Struthio camelus: one gene and its partners. Each later gene encodes a partner of the first gene's protein in a complex. Links are inferred from orthologs where the notes say so. Each region holds a gene or a part of one and is shown in the gene's direction. Other genes may lie near its edges. The genes, in order: PRPF31, LSM7, PRPF8 and PPIH.

Region 1 (7,185 bases):
CGGTGTCGTGCGGGCGGCTGTTGTCACCGCGCGCAGGCTGACGGCACCGCGCGGACACTGCGCGCGGCTGTCAGTGCCGCCTGCGGGACGTCACGCGTGATGTCAGGGCCGTGCACGGTGACGGTAGCCCGTGCAGCATCGGCGCGCGGTGTTGGGGGCTGGGTGGTATCGGTACCACGCAGCGTCAGCGCGCCGCGTCGGTGCACGGTGTTGGTGCCGCGCACGGTGTTGGTGCAGCACCGTGCGCGGCATCAGTGCGTGGTACCGTATGCAGTGTCGGTGTGTGGTGGCGCGTGCAGTGTTGGTGCGTGGTAGCGTATGCGGTGTCAGTGTCACCACACGGTGTCAGTGCGGTCTTGGTGCACGGTGCCGTACTCAGTGTCGGTACGTGGTGTCAGTGTGCAGTGCACGGCGCTGTACGAGGTGCTGGCGCGCGGTGCCCGGCGCTGTACGCAGTGTCAGTGCAGTGTTGGTGCGGTGTTGGCACGTGGTGCCCGGTGTTGTACGCGGTGTTGGCGCGGAGCCCGGCGCGGTGCCCAGCGGTGTACGCGGTGTTGGCATGGTGTTGGCACATGGTGTCGGCGCGCGGTGCTTGGTGCTGTACGCGGTGTCGGCGTGGTGTCGGCGCGTGGTGCCCAGCGCTGTACGTGGTGTCGGCGCGCGGTGCCCGGCGCTGTACGTGGTTTCGGCGCGGTGTCGGCACGCAGTGTCGGTGCGCGGTGCCCAGCGCTGTATGCAGTGTCAGTGCAGTGTTGGTGCGGTGTTGGCACGTGGTGCCCGGTGTTGTACGCGGTGTTGGCGCGGAGCCCGGCGCGGTGCCCAGCGGTGTACGCGGTGTTGGCATGGTGTTGGCACATGGTGTCGGCGCGCGGTGCTTGGTGCTGTACGCGGTGTTGGCGTGGTGTCGGCGCGTGGTGCCCAGCGCTGTACGTGGTGTCGGCGCGCGGTGCCCGGCGCTGTACGTGGTTTCGGCGCGGTGTCGGCACGCAGTGTCGGTGCGCGGTGCCCAGCGCTGTATGCAGTGTCAGTGCAGTGTTGGTGCGGTGTTGGCACGTGGTGCCCGGTGTTGTACGCGGTGTTGGCGCGGAGCCCGGCGCGGTGCCCAGCGGTGTACGCGGTGTTGGCATGGTGTTGGCACATGGTGTCGGCGCGCGGTGCTTGGTGCTGTACGCGGTGTCGGCGTGGTGTCGGCGCGTGGTGCCCAGCGCTGTACGTGGTGTCGGCGCGCGGTGCCCGGCGCTGTACGTGGTTTCGGCGCGGTGTCGGCACGCAGTGTCGGTGCGCGGTGCCCAGCGCTGTATGCAGTGTCGACGCAGTGTCGGCGCGCGGTGCCTGGTGCTGTACGCGGTGTTGGCGCGGTGTCGGCACGCGGTGCCCGGCGCTGTACGCAGTGTTGGCGCGCGGTGCCCGGTGCTGTACACGGTGTCAGCGTGGTGTCGGCGCGCGGTGCCCGGCGCGCGGTGCCCGGCGCTGTACGCGGTGTTGGCGCGCGGTGCCCGGCGCTGTACGCGGTGTCGGCGCGGTGTCGGTGCGCGGTGCCCGGCGCTGTACGCGGTGTTGGCGCGCGGTGCCCGGCGCTGTACGCGGTGTCGGCGCGGTGTCGGTGCGCGGTGCCCGGCGCTGTAGGCGGTGTCGCCGGCCCCGTACCTCCGCTCCTGCTGGAGGCGCCGCGTGATCTTCTGCACCTGCTGCAGCCGGTTGAGGATCCTCTCGTTCACCTGGGGGGGGGGAAGGGGGCGGGTCAGCCCCTGCCGGGGGCGTGGCCAGGATGGGGACAGTGGGCGGAGCTAGCTGTGTGGGCGGGGCGATGCAGGGAGGGGCAGAGCTGGGGAGCAGCAGGACGAGCTGCCTGAAGTGGGCGTGGCCAACCCAGGGGGCGTGACCAGGGCGGGGCTGTGGGAGGGGCTAGGCGTGTGGGTGGGGCTAGTTGAGGGGGCAGGGCTGTGCTTGCAGTGGGAGGGGCTGCCCACAGAGGGGGCGGGGCCACATCCTGGGAAAGGGCGGGGCTACTTGGGGGCTACTTGAAAGCCAAGAGGCCACTCCCCCGTGTGGTGGGCGGGGCCAGATAAAAAAGGCGGGGTTTGTTCCGGAGTGGGTGGGGCTTGGGCGCGGGGGCGGGGCCTGCCCGGAGTGGGCGGGGCCTGTGTGATGAGAACAAGGGGAAAGCAAAGGCGCTTCTCAAATAGGAACAGCCCCAAAGGCAAAGTGTGTGGGTGGGTGGGCTAAGGGGTGGCGGTGGCCATGTTGGGGGCGTGGCTTATCGTGGGCGGGGCCTGCGGGGCGGGGCCTGACCTGCTCGATCTCGCGGCAGCGGCGGCCCAGGGCCTGGAGCTTGCGGCGGGCCAGCTCGCGGTGGCGCCGGCGGCTCTCCTCGCGCTCGCGCTCGTGCTCGGGCCGCGCGTCGCCGCTCAGGCCGCCGTCCACGAACTCCACCTCCGTCTCCAGCTCGCTCTCCAGGATGTTGCCCCCGAAGAGGGGCGGCAGCGCCAGCTCCGAGCCCGGCGGCGCCGAGAACTCCTCGAAGCCCACCCCCGCCATGGCGCTGCGGGGTCGGGGGGTGGGGGGGGGCCTGCTGTGACGCTGCTGCCCCCCCCCCCCCGCTGGGGTCCTCTGGGCCCCGTTACACCTCCCCCCCTACCAGCACCCCTCAGCCCCCAGGGGTCTTTCTGTTCCTCCTCACTGCCCGCCCCCCCCCCCGATCCCTCTCTCCTCCGCCCCGGACCCCCTCGGTTCCCCCCTTCCTCCCTGTCCCCCCCCGGTGCTCCCTTCACCCCCAGTGCCCCCCCCAGTACCTCCCTTCACCCCCAGTGACCCCCTCGAGGCCCCAGTGCCCCCCTGCCCCCCCCTCGGTTCCCCCCTTCCTCCCCGTGCCCCTCCGGTGCTCCCTTCACCCCCAGTGACCCCCCCCTCGGTTCCCCCCTTCCTCCCCGTCCCCCCCCCGGTGCTCCCTTCACCCCCCAGTGCCCCCCCCCAGTACCTCCCTTCACCCCCAGTGACCCCCCTCGAGGCCCCAGTGCCCCCCCTGCCCCCCCTCGGTTCCCCCCTTCCTCCCCGTCCCCCCTCCGGTGCTCCCTTCACCCCCAGTGACCCCCCCGAGGCCCCAGTGCCCCCCTGCCCCCCCCAGTTCCCCCCTTCCTCCCCGTGCCCCTCCGGTGCTCCCTTCACCCCCAGTGACCCCCCCGAGGCCCCAGTGCCCCCCTGCCCCCCCCCCAGTTCCCCCCTTCCTCCCCGTGCCCCTCCGGTGCCCCCTTCACCCCCAGTGCCCCCCCCAGTACCTCCCTTCACCCCCAGTGACCCCCCCGAGGCCCCAGTGCCCCCCTGCCCCCCCTCGGTTCCCCCCTTCCTCCCCGTCCCCCTCCGGTGCCCCCTTCACCCCAGTGCCCCCCCGAGGCCCCAGTGCCCCCCTGCCCCCCCCTCGGTTCCCCCCTTCCTCCCCGTGCCCCTCCGGTGCCCCCTTCACCCCAGTGACCCCCCCGAGGCCCCAGTGCCCCCTGCCCCCCCCTCGGTTCCCCCTTCCTCCCCCTCCCCCTCCGGTGCCTCCTTCACCCCCAGTGACCCCCCAGTACCTCCCTTTACCCCCAGTGACCCCCCCTGAGGTCCCTGTGCCCCCCTGCCCCCCGGTGTCCCCCCCCCGGTATCCCCCAGTGCCTCTCTGACCCCCCAGTTCCCCCCCGATGCCCCTCTGCTGCTGCCCCCCCCAGTGCCCCCTTCACCCCCGGTTCCCCCCCCGGTCCCCTTCTGCCCCCCGGTGCTCCCCCCGGTCCCCTTCTGCCCCCCCGGTGCCCCCTTCACCCCCGGTGCCCCCCCGGTCCCCTTCTGCCCCCCCCGGTGCCCCCTTCACCCCCGGTTCCCCCCCCGGTCCCCTTCTGCCCCCCCGGTGCCCCCTTCACCCCCGGTTCCCCCCCCGGTCCCCTTCTGCCCCCCCGGTGCCCCCTTCACCCCCGGTTCCCCCCCCGGTGCCCCCCTCCCCCCCGGCTCCCCCCCGGCCCCGCCCCCTACCCGGCGATGACGTCACCCGTCGCCGCCGCGGTCCCGCCGCCGCCGCCTCGGTTTGGGGGGGGGGGAGGTGTGTGCGGAGGGAGGCGGCGCGCGGTGATGACGCAGTCCCGGCGGGAGGGGGGGGCGCGCGGCGATGATGACGGAGCGAGGGCGGCTGGGGAGGGCGGGAAGTGACGTCGGAGGGAGCGCGCCCGGCCGGAAGTGAGGTCGTCAGGCGGCGACGCGGCGCGGGGAGGCGGCGGCGGCCTGAGCCATGTCGCTGGCGGACGAGCTGCTGGCCGACCTGGAGGAGGCGGCCGAGGAGGAGGAGGAGAACTTCGCCGACGAGGAGGACGAGCCGGCCATCGAGGATGTGCAGGAGGAGACGCAGCTCGACCTGGCCGTGGACTCGGTCAAGAGCATCGCCAAGCTGTGGGACAGCCGCATGGTGAGGGGGGTCCCGGGGGGAGCGGGGGGAGGAGGAGGGGGGGGTCCCACGAGGAGGAGGAGGAGGAGGAGGAGGAGGGGGGGGTCCCGCGAGGAGGAGGAGGAGGGGGAGGAGGAGAGGGGGGGTCCCGCGAGGAGGAGGAGGAGGAGGAGGAGAGGGGGGGTCCCGCGAGGAGGAGGAGGAGGAGGAGAGGGGGGGTCCCGCGAGGAGGAGGAGGAGGAGGGGGGGGTCCCGCGAGGAGGAGGAGGAGGAGGAGGAGGAGAGGGGGGGTCCCGCGAGGAGGAGGAGGAGGGGGAGGAGGAGAGGGGGGGTCCCGCGAGGAGGAGGAGGAGGGGGAGGAGGAGAGGGGGGGTCCCGCGAGGAGGAGGAGGAGGAGGAGGAGAGGGGGGGTCCCGCGAGGAGGAGGAGGAGGAGGAGGAGAGGGGGGGTCCCGCGAGGAGGAGGAGGAGGAGGAGAGGGGGGGTCCCGCGAGGAGGAGGAGGAGGAGGAGAGGGGGGGTCCCGCGAGGAGGAGGAGGAGGAGGGGGGGGGGGGTCCCGCGAGGAGGAGGAGGAGGGGGGGATCCTGTGAGGAGGAGGAGGAGAGGGGGGGTCCCGCGAGGAGGAGGAGGGGGGGGTCCCGCGAGGAGGAGGGGGGGGGGTCCCGCGAGGAGGAGGAGGAGGAGGAGGGGGGGGTCCCGCGAGGAGGAGGAACAGGAAGAACAGAGAAGGGGATTCTGGGAGAAGGAAGAGAAGGGAGGGGTCTCGGGAAGAAGAGAAGGAGCAGTCCTGGGAGGATGGAGGAAGGGATGTGGGGAGCCAAGGAAGAAGTTGGGGGGGGTCCTGGGAAGATTCAGGGGACCTGAAGAGGAGAAGGAGCTGCTGGGAGGAGGAGAAGAGGAGGAAGGGGAGGGCAGGGGGCCCGGGAGGACGTGAGGGGGGCGCCGCGGTCGGGGCGCTCTGCCCTGCGCCGGGGCTCGCGGCCGCCGGCTCCGCCGCGACGCAGCGCCCTGCGGCCCCGCAGTTCGCGGAGATCATGCAGAAGATCGAGGAGTACATCAGCAAGCAGCCGAAAGCCGCGGAAGGTGCCGGCCCCTCCCCACCCCGCTCCCAGCCCCACGGCAGAGCCCTCTGCCCCGCCCTGGGGGGGCCACGCTGCCCCACGCGGGGGCGCTCTGCCCCGGCGTCCCCCTCCCCGTGCTTGTCCCCGGCTCGGCCCTGAGCTCGGCCGCTCTCCCGGCAGTGCTGGGGCCGGTGGAGGCGGCTCCGGAGTACAGGGTCATCGTGGACGCCAACAACCTCACCGTGGAGATCGAGAACGAGCTCAGTGAGTGCTGGGAGGGGGCTGGCGGCCGGGGGGGCGACGCTGGGGACGTCCCGGCGTCCCCAGAGGGCTGAACGGGGGCAGGAGGCTCCTCTCTCCTCCTCCCTGCGGCGCTGACTCGTGCGGGGGGGCTCCGTCCCCCGCCCCGCCTCCCTCCAGACATCATCCACAAGTTCATCCGGGACAAATACTCGAAGCGCTTCCCTGAGCTGGAGTCTCTCGTCCCCAACGCCTTGGATTACATCCGCACCGTCAAGGTAGCGGGGCTGGGGGACGCCTGGGGCCTCTGCCGGCTCCGGAGAGGGGCAGCGGGGAGCCGGGACGCCGGCGGGGGCCCGTCTCAGCCCTCTGCCCCCGCCCCGTCTGCCCCCAGGAGCTGGGGAACAGCCTGGACAAGTGCAAGAACAACGAGAACGTGCAGCAGATCCTGACCAACGCCACCATCATGGTGGTGAGCGTCACGGCCTCCACCACCCAGGGGTGAGTCGGTGCTGCTGGCGGCTGCGAGCCGACCGCCGTCGGGGGCCGGGGCGCCCGGACGCCGGGGCTCCCTCGTCGCCGCTCCGCCCGCAGGCAGCAGCTCACGGACGAGGAGCTGGAGCGCATCGAGGAAGCCTGCGACATGGCGCTGGAGCTGAACCAGTCCAAGCACCGCATCTACGAGTACGTGGAGTCCCGCATGTCCTTCATCGCCCCCAACCTCTCCATCATCGTCGGGGCCTCCACCGCCGCCAAGATCATGGGTGAGCCCTGGCGCCTGCCCCCAGCGCCCGGCGCGAGCCCCTCCTGGGGCCGGGGGCTGCTCCCTGATGCCCCCCGCCTCCCCCCAGGCATCGCCGGGGGCCTCACCAACCTCTCCAAGATGCCGGCCTGCAACATCATGCTGCTGGGGGCGCAGCGCAAGACGCTCTCGGGCTTCTCCAGCACCTCGGTGCTGCCCCACACCGGCTACATCTACCACAGCGACATCGTGCAGTCCCTGCCCCCGGTATGGCGTCCCCGGCGCCCCCCCCCTTTCCTGCCCCCCTCCCCAGCCCCGCACTGACGCCCCGTTTCCCCCAGGATCTGCGGAGGAAGGCGGCGCGGCTGGTCTCGGCCAAGTGCACCCTGGCAGCTCGGGTGGACAGCTTCCACGAGAGCCAGGACGGGAAGGTGAGGGGGGGGGGTTCGGGGCGCGAGGGGGGGATTCGGGGAGGACGCCCGGACACCTGGGCTCTCTGCGCCGTCTCGTTTCCTTTCCGCAGGTCGGCTACGACCTGAAGGAGGAGATCGAGCGCAAGTTCGACAAGTGGCAGGAGCCGCCCCCCGTGAAGCAGGTGAAGCCGCTGCCGGCGCCGCTCGACGGGCAGAGGAAGAAGCGGGGGGGCCGCAGGTGAGCGTGGGGGGGTCTCCCTGGGGCATCCGGCCTCCTCGGGAACGTCCCGCCCGCGAGCCGCGCTCCGCTCCGCTCCATCCCCC
Region 2 (7,370 bases), on another chromosome or scaffold:
CTTACTAATCAGGCACCCATATTCAATAGCAGTGCCATGTCACAAGTAAGATCTCTGCAAAGCTGGAAATTTGCTAGAATCATAATTAACAAGTGAGGTGTTTTTACATGACACTGCAAAACTAGGAAAGGGCTTTCACATAACAAAAGCATAAAGTCTGAGGGTGTAACTACACAGGCAACTAAGCCAGTCTGTTTGCAGCCATTAGAAGGGCACACTTACTTGCTCTGATCCTCATCAGACCCTTCCATGGCCTATTTAACACATTAAGAGAGCAAACCACTTTTTTCCTGAGTTAGTTTTTTGTCATGTTGGTGAGTTAATGGAATTTGGACAAACGCTAGGGCTCACAAATTAAGTAATGGAAGAAGTGAAGAAGGTGGCAAAGAGAAATTTAGCACATCTGCATTTCATGGAATTGTGACATGAAAGGCTGAGCAAACCTCATGGCTCACTCTTGCCATTTGTTCCTCCCTCCCTTAATCTCCAGACTCATCTGGGCACCTCAGACACACTTGTTCCACCTGTGATACTTGCTAGATCACTATGAGCTGACTGAGCTCACTATCAGTTTTTCATGCCAGGCTACTGCTAGTTGCAATTACATTAACTCTATCATTTCAGAGAGACCTGACAAGCAAGAGTTGGCACACAGGTAGTAATGGGAGCAAAGAGCTGGGAAATGAGTATGAACAATCTCACCTTTCCAGTGGCATTGGCTCAGGGAACTACAGCCTAAGGCTAATGTTTTAAGGCAGAAGACAACGACATCGCTACCAGCAGCACCAGCCCTTTCCTGCCTACTGTAAAGTATTTCTTCTCACGTGATACCCCTCTTTGTGCAAATAGAGTTGTGCATCTACAGTGACTTGGATCATTGAATTGATTCCACTGAAAAATAACACATTTATTCATAAATACTTATTTTTTCAGTGTTTGTCAGCTGTATTAATTCTCTGATCCAGTTCACCACAGAACTGCAGTATTGGCTTACTGTTCAACAAATTTTAGCTCAAGTTGAGCCCTACAGAACAAGAAAAAAGCCACCTTCTCCTGCTGTGCAGTGGAGTGATTCAACTTACAGGTACCTATAGAAACCTTTGCACATCTACAGTAAGAGGAAAGAGGCAAGACAGGAACAGATATAAACTGTATACCTTTAAGGCATGACATTGTACAGTAAAGGGATAAGAGATCATTAGAAGGAGCAATTTACACTGTAAGGAGGTCACATGAATCTGAGTATACACAGAGAAGTTGTATCACTAATTAGGATTACAAATTTGTATGGCAATAGTGGGAGGAGAGAAGACAGTGCTTTATGACCACAATCCTCCAGTCTGAACAACTGAGGATACAGTCCTAGTAGATGCTGGTTTCAGCAGCAAAGCTGGCAGAAATAGTTGCCTATTCACAACCCTCTCCCTGAGTTCATAGTCATCTCAGTTGTGTCAACACAGCTGTCTGGGGAGCTGGTCTTAAGTCAAGTCCTTTTAATAAACAAGAATTAAAAATAATCCTCAAAAAGTTTAACTGTGTCACTCCAATCATGCAGTTTCTAGCACAATCTGGGTGAACAGTGATGCTGACACAAGAATGATGTACACTATAGCACAGGAAAAGAAAAATTATTACCTTGGAGACACTGGTTCACAGAATTACACCATAAGCAGCAGCTTCCTCTGCACAAAGATAAACAGAGAATGAAGTGCTGTTTGCGATTCAGGCAGTCCCAACAACCAAGAGAAATCCCATACTACATGGCAATTACCCACAAGGACTGGGAATGACCCATAGCTCTGACAGCTGAAAAGCACATGGAGAAAAATCCAGGGAAAACACAACACAATTTCCAGGTTGCTATTGACTTGTATTTTTTCCCCTCTTTTTGCAACTTAGAGTAATTTGTTTCTAATTCTTTAATTTTTTTCCCTTATTAGAATATACTGCATGTACAGCTTTTCCTCAACTTCATCAATGGATAAAATTGTCTTAGAGATTTAAGAGACACTATTGCTTCTTCAGGGAATATAGCTCCTCCTCCCCCCTCCTTCCAAAAAAAAAAAAAAAAAAAAGATATAATGAGCTATGCCTACTCTTACAGCGGAAACCATGCAAGACAAATAGTGGAGTTACCAGGAGGTGGGGTGCGTTCCTTCCCCTGTGAGCTGCATAATCAACGCAATGACTATCAATAGCAGACAACAAATTTGCAGACAAAGACAATACTCCTTTAACAGGCACTGTACAGTGGGAAGAGAGTTCGTAATTGACACTATTCATAATGTGACAGTTTCATGTGATTAAGTTGTCAGCCATCTTAATCTAGAACTTCAGGAAGTCTCTTGGACCTACTGGACCTGCATCACAGAACACTGATTTTACAAAACAGAAACCACGACCTCAATTCAATATTCTACCAAAAGCTAGTAAAATAATGGCAGCTAGCTAATGGCAGTGAGCTAACATGCTCACTGTAGATTGTGTTATATATTCTGCATTAGTCAAAGGTTCCTATACCTCATTATTGTTACAGAGCAACCAAGAGATGGCAAAACCATGAAGGAAAGGTGAGAATGACAGGAAATTAAATGAAAAGTGAGGACTCAGATGCCAAAACAAGATCTCTAGGTGTAGATTGTACTTGGATCTCTAAGATCGCACCCCTCTTCTGCTGCTTCCAGATGAGGATCTATATTTAGGAGAACCATACTTCACTAGCCAGCCTGCTCCTTCTCCCTACTTAATTCAGTTCAGAAGCAAACCTGGACCATCTTCTGAAAAAGGCCATCCCACCTCTCAGTAGGGAGAGGAAGAAAGATATACTCCCAATACACCAAACAGACAGTACTACTTATATTCGAAGAAGTTGTAAATGAGCTAGCTTGGGTAGCAGAAATACATTAGCAGCATATAGTAAGTTAACTCTTTGCTGCTGCAGCATGACTGTTTCAGTATTCCAGCTGACTTGTTCAAAGCTTGCTCAACCATGCTTACACTACTTTGCTGCACAAACATACTAAATGACTTGCTTACAGAAAGGAAGCAAGCTGCAGTGCATGGAATTGAAGCCAAGACCTTCAAGTGTCAGGGCTCAACCACTGGACTATCCTACCTGCTATCTTTCCACACTCTCATGGGGGTCACCCTTTCAAAATTGATGGAAAAAAATGACTCCATGCCAGTCCTTGACCCATTCTTACATCTTCTCTCATATTAATTTGAGGGCTCCAGGCTGGCAGCACTAGTCTAGTTGAAGGATTATTAGAGACACCAACAGTGTGCAGGACAGGCAAGCACAGAGGAAGGGAGCAGGTGATGCACAGAAAAAGAACTTAGCTGGCAGTCTGCCCATTATGCAAGTAAACATCACTGGCAAGGAATCAGTATGCATGTTTGGGGGTGGTGGTGGGGAGATTTTTAAAGAAATTTTAAAATTTTTGCTTGTTCCTGTAAGACCCTTGGAAATACAGTTTATCCCACAAAAGGTATCAGTTCAGATGAGGAACAAGAAGACAAAAATCAAGACAGTCTATAACTTCAGGTTCAGCAGAAACCTTGCTTTACTTTACAACAGCTGCTTTCTCAGAGGCAGTTTGTTGCTTGGGATGAACTCAAAGCCAAGAGCCTTCCCTGCTGCAGTGACCCTGATCCCAGCCCCATCCAGTGGCTTAGGCACACTTCCCAAAGGACCACCTGGAGAAGACTGCTAGCAGCACAGGGAACCGATGTTGCAAGAGCTACGACAAATATTTTGCTAACCACAGGAAAAGAGATTAAGAAACACGTAAATCGGGGAAGACACAAAACACAAACCTGAGCCCGGTTTGGGGTAAAAACGATGCTTTCTTCTTTCGTCCAGCAAGAAAATACTGTAAGTCGGTCATTAACACCCGGGAGGCGGCTCCGGAACCGCGCTCCCACTACGGGAGCACGGCTGCGGCCCCCTCATACCACTGGGGCCGTCCTTCCGGCTCAGCGGAGGCCGGGTACCAGCCCCCCCAAGTCCCCGCAGCCCCAACGGGCTCTTGGGATCTGTCCTGCACCAGAGCCAGGCTTTGCCCCACGCCCAGTCTCTGCCCGGTTGCTGCTCCGTCCCGGTAGGGTTCGCCGGGCCCCGCAGAGAGAGCGGGCCCAGAGTATTCCTCGGAACGGCACAGCCACTCACCTGCGCAATGAAAAGCAGGAGAAGCGAGGCCCGGAGCCAGGCCTGCCGTACTGCCGCCATGCCGGGCCCGCCGCGCCGCCGCCCGCTTTTGTTTCCGACGGGGCCGGGCCGGGCCGGGCCGAGCCCCCTTCCGCACCAGGTAACACGGCAACCCGCTCCGGAAGTCCCGCCCCACGCCTGCTGGAGGAGCGAGTCGCCCTTGTGGACAGCCAATGAAATGGCCTGTGGTGTTGACGTTGCTTCTGGCAGCAGCGAATGAAATGGCAAGCGGCGGGGAGAGGACAGTGGCGGCGCGAGCAAGATGGCGGTAAGCTGTTGGCGGGGGCTGCGGGGCTCGTGCTCGCCTAGGGAGCAGTCACGCGGAGGTGGCGTCTGGGCTCGTCACCGTCTTTCCGTGGCTGCGGCCGCTGCAGGGCGACGAGCGGGGCCGTGTAGTTGCGGTCTCCCAGCCTTGGGAGATGCCCGGGCCCGGCTGCCCCGTGCTGCCCGCGCGCGGAGGGTCGCTGTGCCTTTTCGCCGTTTCCCCCGCTCCGCCTTCGCTTTTAGCTCTGTGTTGGGGGAGGTTTGCCTTAGTGGTATGGTTCCCCACCCGGGGTCTGTGTGCGTGCAGAGATGTTTTAATTTAGCTTGTTTTTGGTCAACTTCCTTAGGATAAGGAGAAAAAGAAGAAGGAGAGTATTTTGGACCTCTCCAAATACATTGACAAAACAATCCGAGTGAAGTTCCAAGGTGGGAGAGAAGGTGAGCCTACGGGCAGCACTTGGCTGGTAGTGAGGCACGTGAATTTGCAGCATACTTTGCATCTTGGCTTTTTTCCTCCTCTTCTGTGTCAACTTTTGTCTCCTATGTGATCATATTGCCTTCATTCAAGAAAAGATGAGTAATGGATTCTTTTCTTTGTTGCTATTTGCTGTTACAGGTATGAAGCTTCTTATTGTGTTTTGCCTTTAATCTTTCCAGTAGCCCCCATCACTGTTATTTTATCTTTGTGTTTCATCCTCTTTGTGTCCTTTTCTCATCATCTTCCATTGGTTTTCTTAAAGTATCTTTTTGGCTGTTTTTGGTGGGGGTTGTTTATTTGTTTGTTTTTATTGCAAGGATGCACTTAAAGCACAAAAGAAACAAAGCTTCAGAGCAACACATCTGTCTTCCCTTTCATCTGTTAACTTCCTGAATGTGCTGCCTGTTGTTTTGAATTCCTAGATTATTCTAACATGTTTTACAAGATCTTTTCGTCACTTTCAAGGCTCTTGTATCCTCCCCTTTCATCCGTCCTTGCTCTGCTAGCATATATCCATCACTAAGCAGCTGATAGTGCCATCTGCAGACACTTGTTCGTCTGACAGTTCACATGCTGTGTGGAAGTGCTCTGCGTAAGCTTTTGCAAGGCTAGCTGAGTTTGTTTTAAAATACCATTTTCAAACTCCCAGTTGCTCTGGATGCTTACTAGTTTTGAAAGTTACTAGGAATCTTTGATCAGTGGGTTTTTTGTATTTTTGGGGGCAATTGACAATTCTATTAGTTCTATTGGTTTAGATTTTCTTATCAAAAAATTTGCTCCAAGTTTCTTTCTGTTTTTTTAAATAGGATTATGGGAGTCATATCTTTTGGTTTAGTGTCTTAGCAATGATCGTAATGCTGGTAATCAATAGATGTTTTCAAGATGGAAAGTTATTCTGTGCAGTCCTGCAGTTTCTTTACTGACCAGTCTTGTAGATTCGTATTTGGTTTCCTGCCAAAGTGCTTGGCTCTGTGCAATGTATCCCTATAAAAGCAATACTTATGTTGAAAAGATTACAATTCAGGACGGAAGACAGGACACCTGGAAGATGGGTCACCTGAGGAAAACACTTAAATATTATCCTCTTGGTTCATTTTCCCATTCATCTTCCTTAAGAGCTTTTTTTAATGATATAAATTGTGTTGATTTGTATGCTGAGGTATTCTTAAAATGCCCCTGAAATTGACTGATAACAAAAATGTAAAAGTTTTGAAGAACATTTTGAAGAACTGGCTGAAAAACCTGAAGGCTTCCATTGACACAACACAGACCGGTTTCAGCTTGTGCTTTTACATTTGCATTGTGATAAAGAGGGCACTATTTAATATCTCTGGCTTGGCTTGTTTGATAGCCTTGCTTGAGGGAGGAGGGCCTGGAACTGGAGAACTGAGTCCTGTGTTGCCACAGTCCTATTTTTTGGCAGGGGGTGTCTCTAATCGTTCCTTTCTGTGTGGTCTTTAATAGCTAGCGGAGTCTTGAAAGGATTTGACCCTCTTCTGAACCTTGTGCTTGATGGTACCATTGAATATATGAGAGGTAAGTAACATGCGATTTGTGTTTTTTAAAAAAAAAAATCTTCCCCCCTGCCCCCAAATATTTCGCTTGATAAAAAACATTCTGTTCTGTGAGTTGAATAACCAGAAACTGCAGCTTGAGATCATCCAAAGTGAGATTTGTTCACAGTTAACTATGCTTAAAGGAAGGGTTAAGATAACAGAGGTTAGGTTAAGGGGCATTGCTTGTGGTAGAGGATTCTTATTAGTCCTTTTTGACCTCCCCTATAACCCATCTGGTCCTTGTTGTCCTCCAGCACTTGAATGAAGTAGCTTCTGTCCTCTTAAATGAGGCCGTTGCCTTTCACTTTGTGTATACCATTGGAGGAGGCCAGTTCACACACAGCATGAAAAAAAACTCAGTAAAAATTGGTATCTTACTGTCTTAAACTGTTCTGTTAGTGCGATCTTTGCATTTCTGTGGAACTAAAGCCTTCTATAACCTCTTAAGGCTAGCACAGCTGTGATTTTTAGTTTTATTTTCCCCTGCAAGCACAAATGTTCCTCTTCCCCTTTTTGCTCCCTTAAATGAAAGCGTCTTCTCATGTTAGGGGGCAATCTGTTTTCTAGAGTGTTCCCTTGCCTGTTTGCAAGGAAGCATCTCAAAGTTTAATTTTGTTCTTAGGAGGGAATTTTGAAAGATGAGCTTAGTGCCTTTTTACAAAATATTTTGACATCTTAAGGAGTGTAGAATTGGCTCTTGCTGTGTTAAGAATGTTCATCTGTCTGTCCCCATCCATTGTCTCGCTTGATTCAGTCTGGGCACAGACGAACAAGGAATTTGTTTAGTGCGTTCTGTAGTCAGGGTCTTTGTCTGATTTGCATTGATGCCCAAATGTTTGTCTGAAAGGGTATTTGGAATGGGAAT
Region 3 (6,933 bases), on another chromosome or scaffold:
GCCTGGACTTTGTAGAAATGTCTCCATCTCCTCCACCTGCCCCTTCTTCCCACCAGAAAAAAATACTCGGGCCTTGTGCGAAGGTGGGGAGACTTGATCTCATGCTGGAGGTGGCAGGACCAGCTGGCGGCTGAGATGCTGCAGAGATGTAAGTGGGGGGATGACCAGTAGTTGGGCACTGGCATGACAATGGTTTGCACCTCTGCTCCATGTTGCACCCAAACACGAAAGTCGCTGGCAGTGACTAAGAGCTGCTGTTCCTGCAACCATCTACACCCTCCTGAGGAGACAGCAGCTCCCCGGCTCAGCCTCCCTTCTTTTGTCTTTCTCAGGTGATCGTCTGCTTTGGTATTGCAGTGGTACTCCATCAGTACGTTGGGTTTGCCCTCATTGCCTTGCTGGTGGAGATTAACTCCATCTTCCTCCACCTGCGGCAGATTCTGCTCATGGCCAACCTGGTGCACACCACCTGCTACCGCCTCAACAGCATCGTCAACCTGGGCACCTATGTGGTGTTTCGCATTGCCACGCTGGCCTGGATGACACGGTGGCTCTTTCTCAACCGGGAGAACGTGCCCCTGGCAACGTACACTGTGGGCACGGTGGGCATGGCAATCATGACGCCCATGAACATCATCCTCTTCTACCGCCTGCTGCGTAGTGACTTCTTCAAGTCCAGCAAGGAGGTGCAGCAGGACAAGGAGAAATAGCCCCTTTCTCTGCAGGGTCCAGGGGATGAGCAGCCCTGAGGCCTATGGAAGAGGACAGCGAGGAAGAAGAGCAGTGGAGAATGAGCACGGATATTTCAGTATCTTGCTTGGAGGATCCACACTAACCAGAGCACCTGGGCTGCTCCAGTGGCTGCAGATCCCAGGCCCCGCGCTGTGGAAAAGGCACTTCCAGACCAGGCGCTTGGGGCCCTGCTTCCCCTGCACCTTTGATGACGTGGTTGGATGCCTGGGAGCTGCTCAAAGAAGCCTCGACAGGTCTCGCAGCTCCGTAAGGCCACTGCTGAGATGAAAAGGGAGCGAGGAGAAGACCATTGTCTCCCTGCTGCTCTTCCAGACAGCCGAAAGCTGCTGTGTGTCTCTGACCCCTTCGGTGCTACACCCTGCAGCATCCCACAGGCTGGGCACCAGCACTGCCCAAGGGCCAGCCCAGCATCACAGGGACCTTGCTGCCAGCCCTGTGCTCTCCATGGCACATCCCACCAGGCAGGAGAGGCGCCAAAGCTTCACCCTCGAGGCCAAGTCCAGCAAAAGCCAAATCCTGCACGCGAGTCCTCCCTGAGGAGATAGTCCCAGGTGGGTGATGGAGGGAGAGGCTGAGGCCAGCCTGCAGCAGGTGCAGCCTGGGCACCAGAGCCCTGGGCAGTGGGTGCTGTGTCCATGCGCTCGGGGATGGGCTGCTGACTCCTCTTGGCACCTGGACATATTTTCAGTGTTGCTTCATTCCCAGGTGCAACAAGTCCCCCTGCACAAGCATGGGAAGGAGCAAACTGCTGGCCAGGATGGGGCTACGTGGTGATCACTTCCCACGGAGGAGGGGTCGTCAGATGGGCCAGATTTGGGCATCTTTTAGGAATGAAGAGTCCTGCTGCAGAGCCTCCGTAACACTCTTGTGCGGCAGCAAGCGCTCATACTAACACAAGCTTTTAATAAACAGTTGCAAATGAAATAGCTTGAGGGGAAGGGGCTCAGAGCTGGGCAGGTCCTCACGTTGCCTTTTTCCTCCTGCTTCCCCTGCGCTGCGCTGTTTGCAGTGGCCCAACACCTTGCAGAAAAGCAAAGTCATCCCACTCAGAGTTACGTGTGCCCATTTGGAGAAATCCGCTGGGTCTGTCTGTCACACTCTCTTTGGGGCAGATCACCCTGAATGTGCGATTTCTCCATTGGTTTGAAACAGCAGGGAGACAGTCTGCAGCTACTGGCAATGCACTGCTGGGGGTGGGTGGCTTCTGCCTCGAGGAGGAAAATAAGGGCTCAGACACATTTCTGTCCAGAAGGAGAAAGACAAGCGACACGTGTGGGTAGTGGGATGCTGGAAACGACTCGTGGCCAAAGCTGCTTATGTTTCTATTTGTGGACAGTGCAAGGAAGCTTGCAGGTGCAGGGTTTGGGTTTGTCACCTCGGGGCCCACGGCGGTTATCAAGTGCCCGTGTGCCTCACGTACCTCCCAGGCAGGGCTGAGCAGGCAGCCAGCGCTCTCTTTTGGATTTGGCCCATTTCTGCGCAGTTTTTCAGGAGCTGCCCTTTTCGCAGCGCAGCTGCTCGGCCTCTGCACCCGTCCAGCAAGGCTTGCTCTGTCCTCCTGCTTCTGCCCACGCCGGGCACGTTTCTCAAGGCCTCAATTGTGTTGTCGCATTCCTGCCGTCACATGGATATCGTGTACCCCAGGCACGCGAGGACAGCCCGGGTTATGTTATAAAAGGCACCCCCCCCCACCCCGGACTGGCACATGCTGCTTTTCTAGATACATCACCTACCGAGCAGGTGCGTACGGAGGATATCGCAGCAGGAGGTTGAGGCCAGGGAAGCCCTGTTTTGGGGGACTCTCTTAGCAGATGGGATTTTCCTGCAGTGCTCATGGTGGCTTTGCAGCTCACTGCAGCCAAGCGCTTGGGTACCTGATGCTTACCTGTCCAGAGGAAAAATGCTGTGGCCTTGATTTTGGGAAGGGAGCCCAACCCCCACCCCTCCAGGGCTGGGTTAACGGGGCACGGACAACCTCTCCCCTTTCCAGCACCCCTGCCATGCCCAAGCCCTGACGCCAGTGACCGCCTGTTGGGTGGCTGCGGTGCATTAAGCCCGCTTGTCTTTGCAGCGCGTTGTACCTCGCGCTTTCACAGTACACTGAACCAGCTCGGAGGGCTGTGTGACGGCACGCCGTTCCCGGGGGGCCAAGGAAGGGGGCCCCGAGGACGGTGGCTAATTGCCGACGCACTGACGGCCCCGGCGTCAGGTGCTGGCGGGAAGGAGGTCCTGCGCTCCAGCCGTGGGGTCTGGGCTGGGTGGGAGGAGGTGTCCCTCCCTGGGGGGGGGGCTCTGGGGCACCCCATGCTCCGGCCCTGTGCGGCGCTGTGGGGTGGAGTGGCCCTGGACCCGAGGAGGGGAGATGTGAGCACCATGGGGCCACGTGGGCTGGCCAGCATGCACTGCCATTGCCATTGCCCTTGTGGGGGGCCCCCACCCCACAGCACCCTATGGAAGTCCCCCCTTGGCCCACAAGGCCCCATGGGTGGCAGCAGCACCCCACAGAGGGTCCCCCTCAATGCCCATAAGGCCCTATGGGAGGCTCACCCCAGAGCACTCTATGGAAGGTCCCCAGGTCCTCCTCACCCTACAAGGCCCTATGGGGGGGCCTTGCTCCTCAGCACCCCATAGAGGGTCCCCCCTGCCCCACAGCACCCCATGGGGGTGTCCGCCTCAATCCCCACAAAGCCCAATGGGGGGGCTCACCCCACAGCACCCCACGGAGAGTGCCCGAGATCCCATGGGGGACCCCTCGCCCCCCCAAAGCTCCCACAGGGGGCCCCCATCACCCTACGAGGCCCCATAGGGGGCTCCCTCGCCCCCCAGCATCCACCAGCCCCCCATGGGGGGGGGTTCCTCTCCATCCCCCCAAGGCCCCATGGGGGGGCCTCACCCCGCAGCACCCCAGGGAGGGTCCCCTTCGCCCCACGGGGTCCCATGGGGCCCCTCGCCCCTAAAGCACCCCATGGGGGTCCCCCTTGCTCCCCCCCCAGGGGCCCCCGCAAGGCCGGTGGCGTAGGTGAAATAGGCCAGGCGTTGTCCAATCAGCGCCGCCGCCGTGCTGTCGCCGCCGTCCCCCCTCCACCAATCGAAACGGCGGGAGGGCGGGACCGGAGAGGGAAGGGCTGCCTATCGGAAGTGTACTCCAGGCACGGCTTCCTTTCCTCTTCTGCCTCCTGTCCCGCCCCGCACCCCGCCTCCGCGTTCTGACGGGCTGCGGCAGCTGCCCGTGAGGCGGCTCGGAAGCTGATTGGAAGCTCCTCCTGAGCGCGCCCCGCCCACATCCGGGGCTCCGAGGCGCGGTGGCGACGGGCCTGGGCCGCCATTGTGGTGGGGAGTCGGGGGGTGTCGCGGGAGCCGGTGAGCGCGGGCGGGGGTCGGGGGGTCCGGGGCGGGTGTGGGGAAGGGGTCGTGGCGGCGGGGGGGGAGGTTAACGGCAGCCGCCTCCCCGCCCTGAGCCCGGCTCCGTGCCCGCAGGTGCGTCGCCATGGCCGCCGTGTTCCCGTACCGCGGCGGCTGCGCCCCGGTGCCCAGCCCGCTGGCTCCGCTGCCCGACTACATGTCTGAGGAGAAGCTGCAGGAGAAAGGTGGGTAGGACCGGTCTCGCCGGCCTCGGCCAGCCCCGGGCCCTCTGTGTCCCGCCTGGGCCGGCCCCGCAGGCCGGGCCTGACCCCGCTGTGCCTCTGTCCCCGCAGCCCGCAAGTGGCAGCAGCTGCAGGCCAAGCGCTATGCGGAGAAGAGGAAGTTCGGCTTCGTGGACGCGCAGAAGGAGGACATGCCCCCCGAGCATGTCCGCAAGATCATCCGCGACCACGGTGACATGACCAACAGGAAGTTCCGCCACGACAAGCGCGTCTACCTGGGGTAACGCAGCCCCCTGCTTGGTCACGGTGGGCCTGGGTGGCACAGGGGAGCTGCGCCCGGTCCTCCTCTGCTGCCTTGTCAGAGCTCCGAAGGGCTTTCCGTGTCAATTGTGTATAGAAAACAGCGTAGTAACCTGAGGAAGACATGATAACCAGTTGCACTGGGATAGCAACACAGAAGAGTATAAGCAAAGGAAGCGGTTGCTTTGAATTTTTGAGAAAAACATTACCCTGAATAACAGACAGGTCTTAACAGGAGCTTGAGGAAATGTGTAAGGTGGCCAGTGCACGTTCTTTGGACATCTAATATGCACCTGTGCTTCTTTGCTATTTGGGCTCAGAGAAGCATCTCATGCAAATTGGGATCCTTTGCACTAACTTTCAGTTACCTGTAGAAACTCATTTGAAATTGATTTTTTGGGATGGTACTGTTCTTAGCATGTAACATCCTCTCTGAAGCTAAATCAGCAGAAAACTTTTTGGTGGCAAGATCTGTGAAGCACAAGGATAGACTGGGTAGGAAGTTGGATTTGTCACTGGAGACCTTTATGAACGGATCAGATGAACAGTTTTCGGGAGTGAAATATATATAGTTAGTTAGGCTTTCAGCAGATGGATGGCTAACTTCTTGAGATCCCTTCCAACTCTGTTTTTCTTTGATTTCTGTTTGTAGTGCTCTGAAGTACATGCCTCATGCAGTTCTAAAGCTCTTGGAGAACATGCCCATGCCTTGGGAACAAATCAGAGATGTTCCAGTCTTGTACCATATTACAGGCGCCATCTCTTTTGTGAATGAGATTCCTTGGGTCATAGAGCCAGTGTACATTGCACAGTGGGGGTAAGCACCTTCTTCCTTAACCCTCATGGGAAACTTGCAGATAAACGCTCGTGCAACTACGCTAACGTAGTGCTGTACGTAATGGTCTCGGTTTCTGCCAGGTCAATGTGGATTATGATGAGGCGAGAGAAGAGGGATAGGCGTCATTTCAAGAGGATGAGATTCCCTCCGTTTGATGATGAAGAACCCCCTCTGGATTATGCTGATAACATCCTGGATGTAGAGCCCCTGGAAGCAATCCAGCTTGAGCTGGATCCGGAGGAAGATGCTCCTGTGCTAGACTGGTTCTATGACCACCAGCCACTGAAGGACAACAGGAAGTATGTACCTCTTTCTGATGAAACAGTTCACTGCAAAAAACAAATGAAAAAGAAAACCTAAAAAAACCAAAAAACCCCAAAACATTACAAACTAAATAGGCCTACTGCTATATGCAGACTTTATAGACCCTTTGGTCTTATTGTACTGGGCTATGTATGATGTTAGTGGGGAGAGGAAGCCTTCGCTCAAGGATGCAAGGAGGAATCTGACTGCTTTGAAACTAGTCCTCTATCTTCAGCGTCCATGGAGAACAAGCAAAGTGTCTCTGTTCAGGAAGGCTGCTGCCCAGTTAACTGGCTAAAACTGGAGTTTTTCCTTTCATGCCATAAATTTGAAAACCTGAATTGTCAGATTGGAATTTAAATTGATATTTGTTAGGAGTGCACTTACGCCTCAAAGGCTGTTGAATATGACTTCAGGTGTTGGTGTGTCAGTCTGGATATGGAGGAGGGGAATTGGTCCGGTCAGTAACTGCTAGGTGGTTGTGGTGCACAGTGGTCTTAAGCAATCCTTCCACCTTCTCTTCTGTCTGGAGGGACCCATGAGTTAGCTGTCTTTAACTGTTTTCTGTAAATGACAGGCAGTGAAAGGTGTTTGGATGGTCTTGGCTCTTTGGTAAAGGCCCAGTGTTCTCTGGCTGTGTAGTGAGTGTCTCGTGCTTTGTTCCTTCACAGGTACGTAAATGGTTCTACATACCAGCGTTGGCAGTTTACGCTCCCTATGATGTCCACGTTGTACCGGCTGGCCAATCAGCTGCTCACTGACCTTGTGGATGATAACTATTTCTATTTGTTTGACCTGAAGGCATTCTTCACCTCCAAGGCACTGAACATGGCTATTCCTGGAGGTCCCAAGTTCGAGCCTCTTGTTAGAGACATCAATCTTCAGTAAGTGCTGAGTTTAGGAGGAAAGATAAGGGGTTATCTGGGTAAGGGCTGGGAAGGTTTGTGTGTTACCACGTGGCTTGCCCTGGGTGAGCTATACCTGGGTGTTCTCTCTCTGCATAGCATAAAGTTTGTGATGTGCTTGCTGCTTAAAAGACTGAATGGTTGTTAAGGTCAAGAGGAGGCTCAGGGAAAAGGGCTGGCATAACACCTTTGGTCAACGATATTTGCCTTTCTGTCCTACTTGAATGCTTGTATGACAACTTCTTTTTGT
Region 4 (7,158 bases), on another chromosome or scaffold:
CAAGCAGGAGACAGCGGTTTCGAGAAGGGGCAGCACAGGCTCTTGCAGCCTCCACTAAGCAGCTGGTCACGGGGAGAGTGGAGAGCTGCTGTCAAGCCTCTGGTCTGCCAAAGCAGAAGACAGCATGTGGTCAGCACATATCTTAGGAAGGTGAGTACACACAACCCCAGTGCTGGGAAGGGCACAAGAGGCCCCAACCACAGCTCTTGTTTCCACCTGCTTGGGATGTACCTTCTCAGAGATGCTTTTCCGGAAGAAGACACATGCAGGAAAGAGGAAGATCTTGGGCACTGGGCCTTGTCTTTTTCAGCCTCAGCCAAAAGAAAGGGCAGGAGCACAAGAAGCTCTGCGCCAAGTGGGGCCTAACTTCCTCTCCCACACAGGGCGGGAACAGAAAGCAGGCCCTCCTCCAGCTGACTTCACCCCAACAGACAGGGCTTCCCAACAAAGCATGGCTGACCACGCACTTCACTGAGAAGCCCTCGTCTGACAAACTTCTTCCCCGCTAGCTTCAGGAGGAGACAAGCCCTGGCAACGAGGCCCTCGGCAGCTCTCGGTGGCTCTACCAAGTGGGAGATGAGAAGCTGCATGCTCGGTCCGTCAAGGGCTGCAGAAGGAAACCTACTCTCTGTGGGAACAAGAAGACACCCCCCAGCAGGCATCTGGAAAACAGCCGTCTCCCTGTGGGTGATGATCAAAGGCCTCAGCCTTGGCTTCTGCAACAGAGACCGAGACCCATGAGGCCACCCCCAGGAAATGAGCCCCTTGCTCACAAGGCAAACAGTTGCCCACCAGCCACATGAGAAGCTGCCTCTCCACAACTCTCTCACCAAGTGCTCTTGCACCAACATCAGCCCCTCTCCCAACTTGTGCCTGCAGCCCAGCAAAGCCCTGAGAATGGGCAGCAACACTGCCAGACTTTGGGCAAGGGCAAGAATCAGGAGACTCCCTCAGGAGACTCGGTCTTGCCTAAAGGAGAAGTCAACGGAAGCTAGCACGACGCAAGGCTTTGTGGTAGCTGGCCTCTCTGGTGGCTGCCTTTGCTCTCTTTGCTTGCACGGACCATTGCTGAAGACAGAACAGGGAGTCCAAGCAGTGCGGCCAACCCCCAAGTCTCTGCTGACACTCAAACGGCTGCATCTGTAGCTGCAGGAAGAGAGACACGCAGCCCTCCTTCCTCCCTGGCACGCTCAGGGAAACCTGGGACAGCCAAAGCCCCGAGAGCTGGAACAACAGCAAGCGGGGGGCCCGGTCCGAGACCCGTCACTGCAGCACAGGCTGCAAAGGGCTGGTCAGTGCAGCGACACCAGCAGAGCAGGACGGCAGGGCCTTGGTCCGTTGGTGCCTCTGCGTCCTGCCCAGAGACAGCATCTCTACAGCGTCGCTTTCTGGGAGGAGGAGGGCAGGCACTGGGAGAAGCACCAAGACAAACCTGCCCCGGGCTTATACTCTTTCCTAGCACAAAGGGACATGGGCTACCGGGCTGGATCTTTGCTCTGACCAAAGACAGCTTCTCAGAAGGGCTTCTGTGTCGCCAAGTCTCTCCTGAAGGCCAGACAAGAAGTCTGCCGAGAGCTCGCGTTCCTGTAAATCAAGGCGAGCGCAGGGGACGAGGCAGGCCAAGGCTTTGACCAGGAAGCAGGAGCAGGAGAGGCAGTGCTGAAAAGAGGCCCGACTTACGCTGAGGAAAGATTTTGCCAAGTTCCTGGTCCTACCTACTTTGTAAATAAAGTCTTCAAAGAATCTCATCAGCACTCCAGGATGCTGAAGTTCTTGAAGACAAAGTCCAAATCCTTGCTCGTGGACAAGGCCCACACAAAGACTTTCAGGGTCGCCTCTATACGTCTCAGCACCTTCCCCTTCGGAACGTGCGGCCGCAGTGCAAGCTGGGCCTAGTTCAACTCCACAGCTTGGGAATAGGCTGGAAACAAAGCACCGAGCAACAAAGTGACTTGAGCAGCCCTTCAGCAGACCCCAAACACCCTGCAGCACAACAGACAGCCCCTCGGGAGGCTTCTCGCCCCCCCCTTCCACCCCACCTACTCTCCATGGAGCAGCCAACGTCTTGCCTGCGGGGGCCACAGCCCCGTCCCCACACCCCCTGCTCTCAGCAGCAAAGAGGAGATGGCATCAGTGGAAGGGAAGAACCACTCCAAACACAGCCCCCACCCCGTGCTGCTCCACACTCACCATCAAGGGCATCCTGGGGCTCTCCATGGCCTTGGGGCAAACCCGCTCCCCCGTCTCTGCTTCGTGCCTGACTGCGGCTCGCTTAGGCCCCTTGTCCCCACAAGGCAGCTGGCAGGGCCAGCAACAACGCTGGCACTCGCCTTCCACAGTGCGCCAGGCTTTCTGCCCTGCCAGGAGGAGCTCGAGAAGGCCCTGAAGAAGCGAGCTCACAGTCTGCTTCTCCAGCTGGGCTTTGCTTTTTCTCTCCATTGAGGGAGACGTGGCTCTGGGGCAAAACTGACACAAAACTGCAGGCTCCTGCTGGGGCATTTCTTCTGCTTTCAGCGGTGGCAAGGAATAAGGCTGCTCCATGGCAGGATGGAAGCGGGGGCTCAGCACTCATGAGGGTTGGAAGGAGGGTGAGGAGACAAGACCCACCTGGTTCAGCAGCAGCGCTTGGCAGTAGCATTCAGAGATGCTGTCCCAAATTTTAACAACATCTGGGGAGCAAGAGGAAGACATGCCATGCTTGAAGTCAGACAAGCTCACCACCATCCCACCTGCTCCAAACCAAGCTCCAAGATGCCAGCATCATCCCCACCACCACCAGCATCCTCGCAAGGACCCGCGGCGGAGGGGCCTGCAGAGCTGAGTTTTTACCTGACATCCGACTAGAAGCCCTCTGCTGACCCCACGAGAAGTCTGGAGCTGAAACGAAGGCACGAGAAGGGCTTTGGACGAGGGGCTCCTCCCATCCGAAAGGGGAAGGGGGCTCCGAGGTCGCAGCCTCTTCCCTGCTCTGGAGGCACAAGCGGATCCCAGAAGAAACCAGAGGCGGTGGCTAGCTTTTTCCAAGAAGCCAAGCTCAGCAGAAGGAACTACAAGGTCTTGCGAAGGAAACGAGCCACCCCTAACGAGCGCGTTTCCAGCAGGCTCTCTGGAGGCCAGGGCACCTCAGCCTTCTTCACGCTTCCTTTCCTGGCAGATCCTCCTCGCCGCACCTCATCCTCTCCTTGGCCAAAGCTGCCAACGGCTTCGCAGGCCAGCGAGGGGACGGCGCCTCGGGGCACCTCCGGGCCTTTCCTTCCTGCCCCAACCCCGCGAGGCCTGCAGACAGCGGCAGGGGGAACTCGGAGGAGAGCCGCTCCGGGGCGCCAAGCCCTCCAGGAGCAGTCAATACACGCGTGTGGCTGACACGGAAGCGGCCGTTAGGCACGCGGCCGTTATGGAAGCGGCCGTTACGGGAGCGACCATTACACGCGTGATCGTTACGCGCGCGGCCATTATGGAAGTGGCTGTTACGGGAGCAACGGTTACGGAAGTGGCCATTACGGGAGGGACCATTACACGCCTGATCGTTACGCGCGTGGCCATTACGGAAGCCGTTATGGGAGCGACCGTTACGGGAGAGACCATTACACATGTGATCGTTACATGCACAGCCATTATGGAAGCGGCCGTTACGGGAGCGGCTGTTACGGAACTGGCCGTTATCGGAGCGACCGTTACACGCGTGATCGTTACGCGCGCGGCCATTATGGAAGTGGCCGTTAACGGGAGCGGCCGTTAGGGGAGCGGCTGTTACGTCCGCGGCCGTTATGCACGTGATCGTTACGTGCGTGGCCATTATGGAAGCGGCCGTTAGGGGAGCGGCTGTTACGTGCGTGGTCATTATGGAAGCAGCCGTTACGGGAGCAACGGTGATGGAAGCAGCCGTTACGGGAGCGACCGTTACACGCGTGATCGTTACACGGGCAGCCATTATGGAAGCGGCCATTACGGGAGCGGCCGTTAGGGGAGCGACTATTATGCATGTGATCGTTACGCGCGCGGCCATTATAGAAGCGGCCGTTAGGGGAGGGACCGTTAGGGAGCGACCATTACACGCGTGATCGTTACGCCCGTGGCCATTATAGAAGCGGCCGTTAGGGGCGCGGCTGTTACGTCCGTGGCCGTTATACACGTGATCCTTATGCGCGCGGCCATTATGGAAGCGGCCGTTAGGGGAGCGGCCGTTACGCGCGCGGCCGTGACAGGAGCGGCCGTTACGCGCGCGGCCGTGACAGGAGCGGCCGTTAGGGGAGCAGCCGTTACGGGAGCGACCGTTACGCGCGCGGCCGTGACGGGAGCGGCCGTTACGCGCGCACCTCTCCGCGCCGCCGCGGCCGCTTCCGCTTCCGGGGGCGGGCGGGCGCCATGGCGGTGTTGGCGTCCAACCCCAACAACCCCGTGGTCTTCTTCGACGTCTCCATCGGCGGGCAGGTGGGCGAGGCGGCTACGTGGGGGAGGGGGGCTGCGGGGGGGGGGAAGGGATTGCGTGGGGGTGGGCGTTACATGCGGGGAGGGGGCGCCATGGGGAGGGGTTTCAGGGGGTGGTGGGGGGTGCGCAGCGGGGAGGGGGGCTGCATTGGGGAGGGGGCTGCAGCGGGAGGAGGTCTCGGGGGGGCAGAGCTGCAGTGGGAGGGGGCTGGGGCGCATTGGGGGGGATTGTGGGGGGGCTGCAGGGGGAGACGGCTGCAGCGGCGCAGTGAGGGGTGAAGCAGGAGTAGGGGGGCGCAGGAGGTGCAACTGGAGGGAGCTGCTCGGGTGCCGGGGGAGGGACGCGGGGATACCGGTGGGTGCAGCGGGGGTCCGGCAGGCTGCGCTGACCACGTTTCCCCCCCCCCCCGCAGGAGGTCGGCCGCATGAAAATCGAGCTGTTCGCTGATGTCGTGCCCAAAACGGCGGAGAATTTCAGGTAAGGGGCAGCCGGCGCCGCTTCGTGCTGCGGGAGCGTTTCCGGTGCAAGAGCAACCACCTCCTTGCCAGAGCCGCTGCATCCCCTTCGCGCCTCTCTCCGTGGTCATCTCAGTCCCACAGTAGACATTCATATACCCTGCCCTCTGTGCAAAACGGTGCCGCACGCCACGCTCGCCGTCTCTTACAACCCCGGTGTTGAACAGCTGACCCTCCCCAACTGCAGAAATGCCCCTTTTGAAATGGAAACGATGAGCAGTTCCTGACAGTTGCCCTTTTCCTTGGTGGTATTCCTGATGCTTTAAGGACAATCCTGCAGTTTTTCTTCTGTAAAACATTCAGAGCGCAGCGGTTTGGCATTCCTAGGAATACAAATGTGACTCATGCTCTGCTGTTTTGTACTTTTTGTTTTCCAGGCAGTTTTGTACAGGTGAATTCAGGTATGTGCTTAGATTCTCCTTCTAAATAGTATTAAAAAATATTCAGATGAGCAGAGGGCTGGGGGACTAGAAAGAGAGGTCACCTGGAAGTTTTTCTTAGTGCATCAACACAGAACGAAAAAGTTAGAGAAAACACGACTGGCTCAGTCACACGGATGGCAGACTTACCCAGCCTTCCCTTTTGGGTGCGGCCAGAGTCGGGTACGGGTTTGGGTACGTTGCTGTAACTGGCACTGCCAGCAAATCCCATGGGAGAGTTTTGTGTTGGGATATACAGTAAACTGCAATGATTTTCCTTTTTATTTCCTCCTAGGAAAGATGGTGTCCCTATAGGTTATAAGGGAAGCACTTTCCACAGGTAACTCTTCTGCTTTTGTTTAGATGCTTAAACAGCAGTGTGAGCTGGGCCTGGTTTTGAGAGCTGCCTCAAAGGTGTTATTAGTCTGGGAGGTGTTTTTTAAGCATGGAGGACTGGTCACTGCTGGTATCATCTTTCCAGAGCCTCTGGCATGTCTGTCCTTTGGGGGGATTGGGGGATTTGGGGTTGCCCTCAGATATACCAGAGGGAAACCATGGTCTCCTTGGAGCTTTTGAGTTGACACACAGGGGTCACTTTGCAGGGGGTCCCCCCATTCCTGGTCTGCCAGGTCAGAGATTATGTTCTTGCATATATCACCTAATCTATCCCATGTTTAACAGCAGTGGATCCCAAATTACTTTATATCAGCCAGTAGTTAATATTCAGTGTAGATTTTGCATTGTAGTACTTACAGACCCTTATGATTTTTTTGGTTGTGAGAACTAACTCCCTTTTCTGACATAGTAAGCTTCTGGAGGCATTTTTTGACTGAGAAGTAAGTATCGTTTTACTTTTTGTAGGGTAATAAAGGATTTCATGATCCAAGGAGGTGACTTTGTAAACGTATGTACTTCTGTATTTCTTTTGTACTTTTGCTGCGTGGTATAATATGCGACTCTTTCCCAAGGTCCATGCTTACTTGCAATATCTGTTGGCTCTCTTATGAGGCAGCCAGTAATAACTGGAGGTTTCCTTACAATGTTCCTACGATCTTACTGCAGCAGTACAAGTACAATGTACTTGGAAAGAAATCCGGAGACTTGGGCAAGCACGTTTTCTTCTCTCCCAAAATATTTCCCCTTTAAAACAGCATGATAGCATCATTAGAGACTCTTCAAACTTGCAGGGAATTTTTACCCTGTTGCCCTTCTCCTTTCTTCTGTCCCCCAGGCAAGAAACCCTACAAATTTCTTTTGGCTCTGTGGAGAGAGACTCTGAGCATAAATCCTAGCGTCTAGTCCAGGATTTATTTAAATCAAAATTAATTTCTATTATTAGTGAATTGTCTCAAAGTAGAAAAGACTTTGTACCTACAGTATTGTGCCTTTCGGATAAGCCAACTGTTGGGGAGATGCTGGATGATCACTGGGTCTCTTCGCTACCCTAGGACCTGGGGAAATTATTTCATTTCCCAAACCACTTGCAATTGGAGGGGGATGATGGAAAAAGCTTTTTAACACAAAACTCAATTTTGTGAAAGCTGAGAGAACTGACTGCAAAGTGTGTGGCTTAGTCACATTGGGTTTGCAGCTAGTCCTAATCATCATGCTGCTCAAATGTCCCCGTGGCTTTATTACTTTCACTAAAGCTCAACAAGCTTTACAGGTTGCACTGGTATTTGTAACTTATTAATTGCGCTTCTTATAAAGCTACTTGGGGACCAAGAACGGCCACACTGGGCCCTGAAATAGGGTACACGATCCTGCCTTGTAGCTGACAGTTTGAATAAGCCAC

The links.
Region 2: PRPF31 (region 1) and LSM7 share a complex: the UniProt entries of both Homo sapiens proteins name them as parts of the U4/U6-U5 tri-snRNP complex. The link is inferred for Struthio camelus from reciprocal best matches to the Homo sapiens genes PRPF31 and LSM7.
Region 3: PRPF31 (region 1) and PRPF8 share a complex: the UniProt entries of both Homo sapiens proteins name them as parts of the U4/U6-U5 tri-snRNP complex. The link is inferred for Struthio camelus from reciprocal best matches to the Homo sapiens genes PRPF31 and PRPF8.
Region 4: PRPF31 (region 1) and PPIH share a complex: the UniProt entries of both Homo sapiens proteins name them as parts of the U4/U6-U5 tri-snRNP complex. The link is inferred for Struthio camelus from reciprocal best matches to the Homo sapiens genes PRPF31 and PPIH.

What each region holds. Positions count from the first base shown.
Region 1 is NW_027182594.1:29,843-37,027, reverse strand, and holds the start of PRPF31 (U4/U6 small nuclear ribonucleoprotein Prp31), read left to right. Parts: upstream 1-4,182; 5' UTR 4,183-4,252; coding exon 4,253-4,426; intron 4,427-5,427; coding exon 5,428-5,488; intron 5,489-5,646; coding exon 5,647-5,730; intron 5,731-5,886; coding exon 5,887-5,984; intron 5,985-6,100; coding exon 6,101-6,207; intron 6,208-6,300; coding exon 6,301-6,470; intron 6,471-6,557; coding exon 6,558-6,715; intron 6,716-6,789; coding exon 6,790-6,879; intron 6,880-6,971; coding exon 6,972-7,099; intron 7,100-7,185. Other genes in the region: TFPT (TCF3 fusion partner), read right to left, coding at 1,648-1,718, 2,293-2,538. UniProt on the Homo sapiens protein: Involved in pre-mRNA splicing as component of the spliceosome. Required for the assembly of the U4/U5/U6 tri-snRNP complex, one of the building blocks of the spliceosome.
Region 2 is NC_090967.1:1,465,039-1,472,408, reverse strand, and holds the start of LSM7 (U6 snRNA-associated Sm-like protein LSm7), read left to right. Parts: upstream 1-4,358; 5' UTR 4,359-4,469; coding exon 4,470-4,475; intron 4,476-4,818; coding exon 4,819-4,909; intron 4,910-6,413; coding exon 6,414-6,485; intron 6,486-7,370. Other genes in the region: SPPL2B (signal peptide peptidase-like 2B), read right to left, coding at 4,169-4,228. UniProt on the Homo sapiens protein: Plays a role in pre-mRNA splicing as component of the U4/U6-U5 tri-snRNP complex that is involved in spliceosome assembly, and as component of the precatalytic spliceosome (spliceosome B complex).
Region 3 is NC_090957.1:16,069,854-16,076,786, reverse strand, and holds the start of PRPF8 (pre-mRNA-processing-splicing factor 8), read left to right. Parts: upstream 1-3,931; 5' UTR 3,932-4,113; intron 4,114-4,230; 5' UTR 4,231-4,240; coding exon 4,241-4,340; intron 4,341-4,448; coding exon 4,449-4,617; intron 4,618-5,289; coding exon 5,290-5,454; intron 5,455-5,555; coding exon 5,556-5,774; intron 5,775-6,449; coding exon 6,450-6,662; intron 6,663-6,933. Other genes in the region: TLCD2 (TLC domain-containing protein 2), read left to right, coding at 333-710. UniProt on the Homo sapiens protein: Plays a role in pre-mRNA splicing as core component of precatalytic, catalytic and postcatalytic spliceosomal complexes, both of the predominant U2-type spliceosome and the minor U12-type spliceosome.
Region 4 is NC_090962.1:12,645,771-12,652,928, reverse strand, and holds the start of PPIH (peptidyl-prolyl cis-trans isomerase H), read left to right. Parts: upstream 1-4,146; 5' UTR 4,147-4,365; coding exon 4,366-4,431; intron 4,432-4,841; coding exon 4,842-4,906; intron 4,907-5,321; coding exon 5,322-5,345; intron 5,346-5,658; coding exon 5,659-5,703; intron 5,704-6,224; coding exon 6,225-6,267; intron 6,268-7,158. UniProt on the Homo sapiens protein: PPIase that catalyzes the cis-trans isomerization of proline imidic peptide bonds in oligopeptides and may therefore assist protein folding. Participates in pre-mRNA splicing.